2 linked regions of the Astyanax mexicanus genome follow. The protein of the gene in region 2 interacts with the protein of the main gene of each other region in a biochemical or structural test. Links are inferred from orthologs where the notes say so. Each region holds a gene or a part of one and is shown on either strand. Other genes may lie near its edges.

Evidence for each region. The genes of interacting proteins can lie anywhere in the genome.
Region 1: the proteins of gabbr2 (region 2) and kctd12.1 form a complex in vitro, tested with the Homo sapiens proteins (2 studies listed by BioGRID). The link is inferred for Astyanax mexicanus from reciprocal best matches to the Homo sapiens genes GABBR2 and KCTD12.

The regions. Positions count from the first base shown.
Region 1 is NC_064418.1:28,739,581-28,747,056, forward strand, and holds the start of kctd12.1 (BTB/POZ domain-containing protein KCTD12.1), read left to right. Parts: upstream 1-4,377; 5' UTR 4,378-5,615; coding exon 5,616-6,464; 3' UTR 6,465-7,476. Other genes in the region: acod1 (cis-aconitate decarboxylase), read right to left, coding at 354-515, 683-694. UniProt on the Homo sapiens protein: Auxiliary subunit of GABA-B receptors that determine the pharmacology and kinetics of the receptor response. Increases agonist potency and markedly alter the G-protein signaling of the receptors by accelerating onset and promoting desensitization.
Region 2 is NC_064410.1:47,770,172-47,777,251, forward strand, and holds the start of gabbr2 (gamma-aminobutyric acid type B receptor subunit 2), read right to left. Parts: upstream 3,070-7,080; 5' UTR 2,146-3,069; coding exon 1,876-2,145; intron 1-1,875. UniProt on the Homo sapiens protein: Component of a heterodimeric G-protein coupled receptor for GABA, formed by GABBR1 and GABBR2. Within the heterodimeric GABA receptor, only GABBR1 seems to bind agonists, while GABBR2 mediates coupling to G proteins.

The DNA.
Region 1 (7,476 bases), on a different chromosome or scaffold from region 2:
AAAATGAGAAATGGCAGAAATAACAAAAAATATGCAAAGCTTTCAGAAATCAATATTTGGTTAAATAACCCTGGTTTTTAATCACAGTTTTTATGCATCTTGGCATGTTTTCATCCACCAGTCTTACACACTGCTTTTGGAAAATGTATGCCACTCCTGGAGCAAAACTTCAAGCAGTTCAGTTTGGTTTGATGATTTGTAATCATCCATCTTCCTTTTGATTACATTCCAGAGGTTTTCAATTTGGTAAAATCAAAGAAACTCATCATTTTTAGATGGGCTCTTATTTTTTTTCCAGAGCTGTATGTTAAAATCTGTTAATACTACTAAAAGGTGCAGTGCTGAAGTGTTACCTTGCCATGCTGAAGAACCACATTAAAGACTGGGCTGCTGGTTCCTAGTAACCCGACCCCCAGTGTGTCCAGCATCATCCTCTTGCTTCTCCTGATAACTCCATCTGTCAGATGAGCTGCATTCAGCGATGACACAGCTGCACCGAAGCTCTCTGTAACACTCTGTAAAACAACCAAAAGTAATTTTTTTAAAAGTCCAAACTAAAGACTACTTTCATCCATCAGAGCTTTTTTTTATTAAATGAAGCCTGATTCAGGGATATATATTTTAAAGCTGCAAATTAAAGTGGTATATTTGTAAATATCTGTTCAAAAATATCTGTTTATACCTTTCGCAGCATTGTGTACTCAAACAGCTGAGCTGTTACTGTGAGGTCTGACAACTCTGCTGCCATTATATACAGAGCTGCCCCTATAAGAACTGCCTCACCAACTTTCCAAAGTGAGCAAACCACAAAAAAACACAGCGCATGCATCAGAGAAGTACACTATTGCACAATGACACCATATAGCTGACCACTTAAGAAGATGTTTTTCCTTACACACATTTGCACAAACATGCAATTAAACTGAGAAAAAATGAAAATAAAAGCATGTAGCACAATACATTGTTGTTTTATGTGTAGTGTAATTATACATACAAAAATTCATTAAAATCATTCGTTTTTGTCTTTATTTGCTCATTGAGAATTCCTGAGACCAAATACAGTGTATAGCTGAAACGTACATAATGTTTTTATTTCATACTTAATTAATAAATGTATCATATTTTTTCAGTATAATTAAGTTCATAGAAAAGCTGCATAGATTTAAGCCTTAAAGGGTAACTAAACTCGCTGATTTTAGCTGACTCCGCCCTTTGAAAACTGGTAGTTTGGGGGGGCACTGGGTGATGTATGGGTTTAGGGGTGGGGCAGGAGGAAGAGCTGATTGGGCTGAGTGCTGTGCCTCCGATAGTGGTGAGAAATGGTTAGACGTCACCACGGGAGTGGTATTATTGTTGTTTCAATTGCATATTGTGTCTGTCCAAGAACCAAAGTATGCAAAAACATAATCCTCACTTATAGCACAGTTAAACCTGAGAGGGGTGTTATAGAGGCTTAATAAAATAATAAAAGAGGCTCAATAAAAATGATTTTTAAAGTTTAGGAAAAGTTTATACAATTTTTAAGCAGCTTTTGTACGTTTCATTACTTCAGAGGAACACATTTCAATTATTAATTTAAAAAAAATGGTTTAGGGTTTAGTGCCTCTTTATCTCCAAGCCTTATTTTCATTTGCAATAAATTGTATGTGCGCATTTAAGAAATTGATTATATAACAGTATTATCAGGCTAAAAAAATTAAACATTGTGTGGGAGCCATAGGAAAAAGTGAATTGGAAAAATACTTCATGTGGAAATGAGCCATTTAACTGGGTTTATTCAGCTTAAATAAATGCTTTGAACGAACCATTGTTTGATGCAAAGTATTAAATCGAGTCTAATTTGAAGAAAAAAACTCAGTTCATTTGCTTTCATGTGACGTAATTATGTTTATTTAATTAACAAACTGTGTTGAACATCAAGAACATAAAGAAGAAGACTTAAGTAAGTGTATGTATATGTGTGTGTGTGTCTAAAACTATTTCTTAAGAGGTTCTGTGGTCTATAAAACCGCACACATGAGGGTTACATTAACCATGTCCACATGAAACACATCCTCACATGGTACATTTTGCAATACACAATATTCTCAGTTCACTGTCTGCCACATGTGGAAGTAGGGTCTGGAATTTTCAGAAATTGATGATGTGTGGAAATGAAACAGAACATATGGGTGTGAGATCTACATTAGTACAACAATGAAATTGTTCTGCTATTTTCACTGTTCTCATAAAAAATGATGAACTGGGAGTTTGTGATTAGCTGAGTGAAAATGAAAGTTGGTTTGATATTACACAATACTATATTGTGAAAGGAAAAAAATGCCTGTTGAACTGTGTGACTATAGAAGAGAACAAGCAATTTAAAATAACTTTTGTCTACACTGTGGAATTTACATTGGAAGTCATTTAAATCAGTTGTGTACTTACAAATTTAAGTTGAATTGACATTTTAATTGGCAATGGGCTGATTATCAGCTGATTAATTGCATTAATTGCAAAGTGTGTTTGGAAAACACAGGGAAAATATTAGAAACTCCAGACAGAAATATTTATATAAAGGACAATACCAAAAATATCAGTTAGCATTGTTAATAAAAATGTAGCCCCTTCTACATGCCAGAAATTACCCGGACATAATCTATATGCCCTGGCATAAACACAGGTGGTTTAATGTTTCTTTGATGTTGGGGACACTTTGGGCAAAGCCATTACATTCTAAGAGAAGAAAGATACTTTATCTGTTAAACATAATGGTGGCTCATTTTTGACAGAAGCAAATGTCTATACTAAAATTTAATCTTGCAGCTTCTATATGTAAAGATATATACAGCTCTGGAAAAAAAAAAATAAGAGACCACTTAAAATTATGAGTTTCTTTGATTTTACATAATTAAAAACCTCTGGAATATAATCAAGAAGAATATGGATGATCACAAGCCATCAAACCAAGCTGAACTGAATGTATGCATCAGCAGTGGCATAAAGTTATCCAAAAGCAGTGTGTAAGACTGGTGGAGGAGAACATGCCAAGATGCATATAAACTGTGTAAAAAACAGGGATATTCCAAAAATATTGATTTCTGAACTCTTAAAACTTTATGAATATTAACTTGTTTTTTTTGCATTATTTGAGGTCTGAAAGCTCTGCCATTTCTCATTTTCTGCCAATAAATGCCCTAAATGACAATATTTGTTTGTTTGTAATTTAGGAGAAATGTCAGTAGTTTACAGAATAAAACAACAACATTCATTTTACTCAAACATATACCTATAAATAGCAAAATCAGAAAAAACTAATTCAGAAACTAAAGTGGTCTCCTATTTTTTCCAGAGCTGTATATTATCTTGAGTATCACATTTTGAAAATCGCATTAAAACAGTTAATTAATTTGATTAAACTCCCAGCTCTAGCTTGGTCATGCTGGTCATACTGTACAGCCAGCTTGATTATGTTTAACATTCTTAGGTTGATTATCTTTATAGCTTGATATAGATATCTAGAAAGATACAGCTCAATATGAGGAGTCTATCTGCTAGCATATGTATAGGCATGTACACATATTTTTTGCTTACAATGGGTAAGTTGTTGCACTAGAAAATATGAGGCATTTTAGACATAGTAATAGCAGCAGAATTAACATTAAATCTTAAAGTATATGTAAACATACCCTATGTATGAGCTAAGATGACCAACAACCTAAACCAGCTTGACTAAGGTACTGACCAAAGCATGCTTTAGACTTAAATATAAATTATACTACTTAAAAACATAATTTAACCTAATAATGCACCCCTTTACACTCTTTTCTGAGATCAGCAAAAGAAGAAGGCTATTTAGTTTTGCTTTCATTTCCTTAGTGGCCACATTATATGAAGAAAGAGAAGTGAGGCCTGACCTTAGTGGGATAAAAAGGAGTAACTGAAATTTCACAACTTTCAAGAAGCGGGCATAATAATTTTGTGTCCGTTTTTTAAATGTTTGTGAAAATTGTGAAATACTTCACACTTAGCAGCAGGTGGCGCTCTAACCTTGCAGATCTGCCTAATGTTTGCACACTGCCTGCGCAGCCTGTGGAGAAAAGGCTGTGGAGACAGTGCTCCAGGAGCTTTACTAGAAACTAACATAACATTGATGAAAGTGTTCAGAGAGACACACAGCGTTAGAACAGCTGTATTTATTCATGGTGTGTTTGACTGACGCTGTGTTTGATACTGTGATAGAGAAAGGGGGACTGTGTGAGAGAAGAGGTCTATAGAGTCAGGAGACCCTGAGCTAAAGAGAACCTTGAGCCTCCAGCTGCAGGTCCTTAAGTGAACTCAGTAAAGGGAACTGACTAACGACTAGACTATCATCTCCCATCACTGCCCATCATCATCCACAGCAGCAGCAACAGAAGCAGCAGGAACAGAAGAAGCAGGCTAGCAGGAGGAAGAGGAGGAGCAGGAGAAACAGAATAGCGGGAAGAGCAGCAGTAGGATAAGCAACCGCAAGGGGAGCAGGAGAAGTAGGAGAGCAGGAGGAGTAGAGAAAGCAGGAGCAGTAAAAGCAGGAAGAGCAGAAGAAGCAGGCTGGCAGCAGGAGCAGCAGCAGGAATAGAAGAAGTAGGCGAGTATGAGCATAATGGGCAGAAAAAGCAGGAGCAGGTGAAACCAGCTAGTATAAGCAGGGGGTGCATGAAAAGCAGAGGAAGCAAGAGGAACAAGGCAGCAGGCTAACAGGAGCAACAGGAGGCTATAAGGAGCAGGAGAAGCAAGCTAGCAGGAACAGGAGAAGATGATGAAGCAGGAGCAGAAGAAGCAGAATCAGGAGAAGCATAGAAAGCAGAAGAAGCAAGAGCTGCAGGCTAACAAGAGCAGGAGGAGCAGGCTGGCAGGAGCAGGAGAAGCACAGGAAGCAGGAGTAGCAGAGGAGGCAGGAGAAGCAGTCTAGCAGGACTACAAGAGGCAGAGGAAGCAGGAGGAGCAAGACCAGCAAGCTAACAGGAGCAGCAGGAACATAGGAAACATGAGCAGGAGGAGCAGGCTAGAATAAGCAGGAGGTGCATGGAAAGCAGAGGAAGCAAGAGGAGCAAGAGCAGCAGGTTAACAAGAGCAGCAGGAGAAGGCTGGGAGGAGCAGGATATGCAGACGAAGCAGGGGCAGCAGAGGAAGCAGAAGCAGGAGGAGCATAGGAAGTAGGAGCAGGAGAAGCAAGAGCAGCAGGCAAGGAGGAGCTGCAGGAGGAGCGTAGGAAGCAGGAGCAGGAGAAGTAAGAGCACCAGGCAAGGAGGAGCAGCAGGAGGAAGCGTAAGCAGTAGGAGCATAGGAAGCAGGCTAGGAGGAGCAGGAGAAGCAGGCTGCATTCTCCTCCCATTCCCCTCTTTCTCTCTCTCTGCGCTCTCTGTTTAAACACCCCTCCTCTCCCCCTCCCCCCATCTTCATCATCTTCACTGTGTTGAGTATTGAGGGAGGGGAGGGTGAGAGAAAGACCCTCAGCAGCCCCTCAGCCGCTCAGCAGATGCAGCTCAGCAGCAGCAGCAGGTTTTGAGCTGTTCGGTGCTGGAGTCGCGTGCGCACTTGGATACGGGAAGCTAGGATACTACTGGGAGAGTACTGGGACAGCTGGAGGAGCAGAGATGGCTCTAGCGGACCCGGACCGCGGCGTGACCAACGGAGGAGACTCTCCAGCCCCGTTCTCTGAGATCATCGAGCTGAACGTGGGCGGTCAGGTGTACGTGACCAGGCACAGAACTTTGGTGTCGGTTCCGGACTCTCTGCTCTGGAGCATGTTCAGTAAGAAGACGCCCCGCGAGCTCGCGCGGGACAGCAAGGGGCGCTTCTTCCTGGACAGGGACGGTTTCCTCTTCCGCTACATCCTGGACTACCTGCGGGACCTGAACCTCGTGCTGCCCGACTACTTCCCGGAGAAGAGCCGCCTGCAGCGCGAGGCGGAATTCTTCCAGCTGCGCGAGCTCTCCAAGCGCCTGAGCCCCCGAGTCAGCAAGGAGAACTCCATCAGCGAGGACCTGTCCCACATCAGCAGCGACTGGGACGAGGCTCCCGGCCCGGGGGGCGCCTTGCTGCCCCCCTCCACCTCCCCGTCTCCCTCCCAGGAGAACAAGAAGTCCTGCGGCTACATCACGGTGGGCTACCGGGGGTCCTACACTATCGGGCGCGACATCCAGACCGACGCCAAGTTCAGGCGCGTGGCTCGGATCACCGTCTGCGGAAAAACCTCCCTGGCCAAGGAGGTGTTCGGGGAGACCCTCAACGAGAGCCGAGACCCCGACAGACCCCCGGAGCGCTACACCTCGCGCTACTACCTCAAGTACAACTTCCTCGAGCAGGCGTTCGACAAACTCACCGAGTTCGGGTTCCGCATGGTCGCGTGCAGCTCCACGGGCACCTGCGCGTACTCCAGCAACGAGCCCAGCGAGGACAAGGTCTGGACCAGTTACACAGAATACGTGTTCTGTAGAGACTGAGACTCAACACTGGCACTGCTGTAAATAATAGCCTATAGAAATAATACTAAAAAAAAAAAACAGTCACTCACAGACTGCAGCTTATATAGCTCCCTCACATCTGTAGAGTAACATCTGTCCAGATGTTGTTTAGACAGCTTTACATTTCTTTATACTTAAGGTGACAGTTTCACAAACCTGATCAAAGAAAATCCAGCTGATAATCCAGAAAAAAATCAAATATATGCCTGCTCAAGAGATAGATAAAGAACATACCCAGCATACACACACAAACATACAAAGCTGTATGTTTGTATGTTTTTTTGTACCAGTAAACATTATAAACATTATCATCAACAGAATATGTGTCAAGAACTTGATGATCCTAAATTGTCTGGCTTTCAAATGAAAAAAAGTATAATTAAAATATATATTGTTTATTAGTACAGTGATGACGAATGTACATTTTGCCTGCTTAAATGGTACAAGTGTGTACTTTCTGATGTTAGGAAAGACTTTGTACTTCAGAGGGAACACATCTGACCCTGTAAAGACCAATATTATACCTCTGATGGTACAATTATGAAAAGTGTACCTTTAAGTACCTCTGTTTTTTAGTGTGCAGCATAATGTATGTTTTCTCTGGCTAACCAGCTGGATTTTTTTATCAGGACATTGTTTAAAAAATATTCTGCATAGTTCATAATTAACTCGTCAATCAGAGTGGGTTGGTATGAAATGGTCTGTGCAGTATAAAATTCTCATGTTGTTGTTGGTGGTGGTCATTCAAACATGATTTAACATATCTCCAATAGGCTACAATGGTCAGGAATGCACCGAATGTCTGCTAGAATGGTAAAATGTTAAAGAGTTCAATAAATATTTTTTCATTATAAGACCAAAAAATGCATTTACGCTATTTAATTTTTGTGAAGATGATAAAAGTATCAAAATGAATGAAATTCTGCAAAACAGAACATACTTTGTATTGGCCAAGAATTTCATTTTTACAGTGTTGTACAGTTGTACTGTT
Region 2 (7,080 bases):
AATTCTCAGTGTCTCATTTTAAATATCAGGGCCCTCAGAATTCTACCAGTGAAGCATAGAGCTACTTTGGGCTTGTTAATGGTGTAAAAATAGCAATTTCTAGCAATCTCTTGCATTGTAAGCCCGATGAGAGCATTGGCTAAAAGCGATGTATTTCGGAATAGTTGAGATGAATGGAGGATCGCTATTTGACAAAAGTTGAAACTCTTTATCACGTTTCACTACACCCCAAGTCCATTTCATGCTGAATTACCTACAGTATTTAACTCTACTCGACTTGACATCTGTTTCATTTTCTACTATCACATCCCCCACTCCCACAAATGTAGCTGGTGATGACATCAACACCTTTACTACCCTTATCAGTGGTGAGATATGTGATGACACAATAACAATGAAAACTGTTGAAGAGATCCTGTTCCTGTTTTGTATCGTTTAAACTGACAATTCTCTCTGACCAATTAGCAATCTCTTCCTTTTTCACAAAGTCCAAATTTTACAGCAAAAAACTTCAAAAGTGCGTTTTAATGGTCCAAAACATTTTAAGTGCAAGCTTGTGCAATTATCTGTGCAAATATATGGTGGATCATCAATTGAAGCATCCAATTCTGTTTACGTTCACAAAGAACCACAAATATATAGCTTCCCTTGGTAGTAAGCACTTGTACGCACGATGTAAATTAAAGTGAGTAAATGCAGATAAAACTATAAAGTTGTGAGCCTGGTTTACAGAACACAGATGGCAAAATATGTGTTGAATTTGGTGTAAAGGTTCCATTACATAAAATCCACTTTTTCCATCCCAAAACAAAACAATACTGAAATGTCCTTTAGATCTTTAGTCTGTTCTAAAAAGTGTAGAGTTGAGCACCATAAGTCTTCCACACTGCTCTTTAGGATCCTGAGCATTTAGTTTGAGCCTTAATGTGTCCAGGCTGCAATTACATTCCAATTCCTGTATATCCTTGGAGGAGCTGTAAAAGCTAAGGTCAGATGCAGCCAGAGAAACCCTAACAAATGACTGCCATCTTCAGGTGTAAAGGAAACCAAGCACATCTACACATCCAGGTGAGGAGAGAGGAAAGCTCAGTTCTTGTTTTTTATATGTGAGGAGCATAAAATAAGACTTATAGAATATGTGTGAAGGAACGTAGGGGTGTAGGTTGATGAATATGCTTGTTATGCTTAATCAATCAATCCATATATTATTATTGGTATTTACAATACCAATATACAATATATTTGGAAAAGTGCTTGGACCCCTATAATAGCATCATGCTGCCTTTCCCAGCTGACTGAGCAGCCAGTGTGTTTACCGCACTATGGAAACTGCTGCATAATGTATTGCTGCTATAGGAATAACACAGCCTTGAATTTTGCATTAGCATTCAAATACGGGGCTTCTGATTGGATGCTGGTTCTGCTACTACTGTAAAGTGCTACTGTAGTCAGTCAACTACAGGCTGATCTATGATGTGAGCTCTACCTGTCTATAATGAGCATAATGAGCAGGGAGGCGGTGGGTGACGGTGTCACGAGCTGTGTGCACGTGGGATGGGTGGTGAAGAAGGGGGGTTGCTTTATTTTTGTACTATATAACACCTGATTGGAGGGGGCATATGAATATGATCGTATTTGGATTGTTTTGATGCTTTGAGGGGGGCTTCAAGACAAAATAGACAGACGTAGCGCACGAGCTACATTGCAACACTGCGTCCTTACGACCATTTATGTATGCATTTACACGCATTTACGATCCTGGCTGGATCTGTGGGATACGCACACTCTCTGGGATACGCCACAACACGCGCGTACGCACACTCACGCACACACACACACAAGACACGACCCTGAAACAAACACTCTCCCACGTACCTCAGTGTCGTAGATCTTGGTGATGAGAGAGAAGGCGTACTTGCGGGATTCGCGGATGTGGCGGATGGCGAGCTGCACCGCGGGCTCGATGCCCTGGCTGATGCTGCTCATCAGCGCAGACTCGTTCATGGGCATGAGCACCATGATGGGCACGTCCCTGGCCGACCACGCTGCGTCCACGCTGTGGCCGGTGTAGTCGTTGCACACCTTGGCCGTGGCCAGGGTCGCCAGGAGCAGGCAGCTGGAGGCGAGGAGCAGGGACGGAGCCATGCCGCTGCCACTGCCGCTGCCACTGCCGCTTCAGCCGCTACTGATGCTGCCGCTGCTGTCTAGGCTGATGATGATGCTGAGGCTGGTGCTGGTGCTGGTGCTGATGCTGCTGCCGCCGCCGTGCGCGCGCGCGCAGGGGAGGAGGATGGGGGTGAGCTTAAGGAGCCGCGCCGGACTCAGCGCGCGGGCATTGCGATGCTCTGAGAGGAGAAGCTGAGGGGTCTGGAGAGAGAGAGAGAGAGAGAGAGAGAGAGGGAGGAGGAGGAGGGAAGAGGAGAAGAGGAGGAAGAAGAGGAGGAGGAGGGTGGCACGGGGGTATAGGTGCTCGTAGGCGCGCTGGCGGTAGAGTCGGAAGAGTGATGATGATGAAGGTAGCTTTAATTCCACAGGAGAGGAGGATGAGGAGGAGAAGGAAGAAGAAGAAGAATATATATAGGGAAGGAGAGTTTCCCCCTACCCCCTCCGCGTGCCACTCCGGTGCCCGTGCAGCTCCGGTCCCGTGTGTGTGTATATATATAATGTTGTACTTTCCTCTGCTCGCACGCGACCCCCTTCCCCGTTTAATCCGTGCGAAGTTGCGAAGCGCGAGTCAATGTCGCTCCGTGAGCGAGAGAGCCACTGAGGCAAGGATGCAGCGGGTCCAGCGCGCAAGAGCGAAAGCACGAAAGCGCGAGCCCGGAATCCCCTCTCTCTCTCGCGCGCGCGCAGGTTAGCTCGCACCTCCAGAAAGGCGAATATTATACAAAGTCCGCGGGAAGCTCAGCGTACAGTCCTGACGCACAATTCCCCAAATGATGATGAAGAAGAGCTGAGGAGGAGGAAGATGATAAGGAGGAAGAGCGGCCTGCCTGCACGCGCTGCTTCTGCTGCTTCTGCTGCTGCGGAGAGCGCGCGCCTGAGTGGCTCAGAAAAAAACACGAGGGAGGGAGGGGGAGAGAGAGAGAGAGAGAGAGAGAGAGAGAGAGAGCAGAGTGTGCGCGCATAAAATAAAGAAGGAGAGAGAGAGAGAGAGAGACAGAGAGACAGAGAGAGAGGTAGAGAAGTAGGAAGAGAGCTTAGAAAAGAGAGAGAGCTCAGAAAAGAGAGAGAGAGCACACATAGAGGGAGAGAGAGAGCAGGCAGAGTGTGCGCATAAAATAGAGAAGGAGAGAGAGAGAGAGAGAGAGAGAGAGATGAAAACAGAGGGATGCAGAGTGAGCGCAAGAAGGATAGGTGGAGAGAGAGAGAGAGAGAGGTAGAGAAGTAGGAAGAGAGCTTAGGGATAGGTGAAGAGAGAGAGAGATCAGAAAGAGAGCGAGAGCTCAGAAAATAGAGAGAGAGAAGTGCACGCGCAAGATTGTTGATGTAACAGTCTCGTGCAAGCTACCTATCTAACGTCTCCTAGATGCTATGAAAGTCACATTTAAACAAAATGATGGATGCAAGCATTAGCGTGGTTTAGTTTGCAAGACTTGTGTTTTGATTTAAAGCAGATATTCACTGAGCGAGATTCACTGTCTCTTTCAGAGAATATTATGTAAGGAAAAGGTGTTCCTGAGCATCTGATATGCAGAGATTAGGTTGCAGGAAATTGCACATAAATCGTTCTGCAGTCCAGCACTACACTTCCATTCCAATAAACAGTGCCACCTAGCAATACAGCAATGCCAAATGATATTGATGGGCTGCACCTTTTGCTTTTACATTGTTCTGCATTAGGATCATGTAATTCAGCAGTGGGAGATTATCTCTTTTATCTCTTTTTGGAAGTTCAGAGTCAGGGTGCTGTCCGTGGTCCTGATCTGGCTGCACCAGATGTATATGTACTCAAACAGTATCTATTGACTGCTGGAATGAAGGAAGGATGATAAAAAGTAAATAAATTAAAATTATAGAAATTAACAACTAGTAGTGCAATTCTCCTTTAAATAAGCACTTTTATGTTTTCTGGGTACCTGGAGAAGTGCCCTATACAGCACTGCATCCTTTTTTCAGACAGGGCATCCCTTTTGGACACTGTCTGGTAGGGATGGCATAGAAGACACTCTGTAACTGCACCTTCTTCTATTGAAATGGTAAAAGTCCATCCATAGATGGACACTTATTAAGATGCATTATTAAATATTATTGCTCTATAGGGCACGTCATTATAAGTTATTGTAAGACAGCCATAGTAGGGACTTTATTACATCGCCATAAGAGAAGCAGCCACTAGGGCACTTTGTTAATGCCACTCTAGAGGGCACTTCAGTAACACTTTTTTTAACCATAAAAATAATGTAAAATTTTGACTGTGAATATGCAATGTGCAATAAGCAGTATTATATTGACAAATCAATTTTACATCAACGTCTCAATAAAGGCATCTCCCTTAACATGCATTCACATACCAGTAGAGAACAATGGTCCAATATAGATATTGGTCAATAGTTTGGACACCCCGGCACACCGGTCACCGCTCCAGTACTGTGTGTGTATGGAGGAGCTATTGGATAAACTAGATATTATTGGTCAAACATTTGGACTCCCCGCATGTCCAGAGCAACCTAGCATACATAAGCGCTCTCAAAAGTTTGGACACCCCGGCACGCCAGCCCATGCATCCAGACCAGTCTAGCGACCATAGCCATGCTCAAACTTTGGACACCCCCAACAGCTTAGCAATCACCTAGCAACACTTCAGCAACCAGCTAGCAACCGCTTAGCAAGACAATAGCAACCAGCAGATGCACCAAAGCAACCAGCCATGAATCAACACTGCAATTATACTCAAAGTTTCGGCAGGAACTACAATCTTGTCACATGAACAGTTCCTTTCACATACAGTATAGACAGATAAAAAAAACTGGGTTCTAGGGAACCACTCATATAACACAGTCCTTATCAGGTGGATCCATCGAGCACTGGAGTTTTCACACAGCAAATCTAGCCAGAACTCATTCTGCCCACTGCAGACTGTGAGCTGCTAATACAATGCAGTATTCATCAGATGTCTGCACGCTCGAGTGTCTCCCATTGTACCGTGGTTTTATACTAAGTCCATCTGAAATCTGACAAAAGCGAGATCCGTGACTCAGCACTGAAGCGTATTGTCTGTGTGAAATGATAAATGCTCATCCACTTGTCCAATAGAATTTGATCTAATAGACCAGAATGACCAGAAGCTGATGCACATGTGTGTTAATGTACTGTGGGAGTGTGCATTTGGTTTTGAATGGCATTTTTCTTTTTGCTAGAGGCTGTAAAATCATAACAATAACTCATTAACTGATTGCATGTCAGGCCTTAATAAGTCATCATACTTCCATTCATCCAGCCATCCATCCATCTTCCTGTCTGCTTCAGGGTTGGTCAGGGTCAAGATGGGCTCAGCAGTACCTAGGATCATCGACTGCAGGCATACACAGCTTCTACAGTGTACCACAATTACTCATTCACTCAGGTCTAGGGGCAAGTTAGAATAGGCAGTTGATCTACAGACACGGGGGGAATTTACCTAACTCCTTTCAGACAGTGAACAGAGCCAGGATTGAACCTACAACCCCAGATGCCCAGTGTCCGGAGCTGCTGCACTACTGCACCACCCGTCACTGTACTTTATTCATTTATTTTTCCAGTTGTTTGATTCTTTTTCTTTTTCCTAATATCAGGCATGGGCTAGAGGGAGGAAAGGGGCCTCAACACTGAGCGGTAAAGCAGTGGAACTGTGTACTCTTGAATGATGGTGCTCTGTCTAATACTTTTGGGATGAGTTGGACAGTTGGTGACAAGGTGGGTATAGGGGTTGGAGATCAATAAGCATGCTCTAGACAGTGAATGTATTCAAATTTCTCAGCAATGCTCCAAATTCTAATAGAAAGCCTTTCCTGGACAGTAGACAGCTGCTTAAAAAAAGATCTCAAAAGAAACCATAAATAAGTAGGGGCAGGGGCATCGCCTGGACTGGGCTTCCGGGGCTTTAGCCCCGAATAATTTTCCAGCAGCCCCGAATCGTTTCGCTCAGCTCAGCTGTATTATTACTGAAGAGACAGACCACTAGCCGTGCGAGAATGATAAAACTCTTCATTCTAATCACAGAGCCAGTTCATGGATAAAGTTTCACCTTTTAGGAGAAACAACCAATCAGCTTGCTGGTTTTGCGGAGCGTGGTGGGCTAGTAGGGAAGCCCCCCATAGACATCATAGAAGTTTCTGTCTGTGTATACGAACAATTCTTGCCATATGCCACTGGTCATGATTATTACTACTCACTGAACTGTTCACTGTAAGTCATATTATAAATATATATATATATATATATATATATATATATATATATATATATATATATATATATATATATATATATATATATATATATATGAGATATATATATGGTTAATATATATGATTTATATGATGTATAAATCTCTCAGTACAAAGAAGACACTGCGGATTAAATAATGTTAAAAGCTTGCACAACTGAAATGGAAATGGAATGTCGCATCCATCCAGCACCTCCTATCAGGCCTCACTTAAGCTCTAATACTTCCCATCACTTTGCCATGATAATGCTGGCCAGTGTTGAATCTTGTTCACAAGATAACACCTCACAACTTATGCAGGCGTGGGCTTTTTCCAAGCCACCTCCTGAGGTAACACATCATTATGCTTTCTCAGTACTTCAGGTATGTCAGTGTATACAGTATGTATTATATGGATTCCCTTATATATTTGTAACAGGCTAAATATGAAAACAATCTTTGAGCAATCTTTCTGCCAATAATACACATGTAGACACGCCCACACCAGCAAACAGACAAACAGATACACACTTACACACACACACCTACAGGCTTGTCTGACATGTCTGTGCTTAATAGAGATTAATAGGACAGCCCAAGGATATCCTTCAGTGCACCTCTGACAATGCATTCCTGCTGGATGCAGTCAGAATTTTGATCATCAAATATTCAAA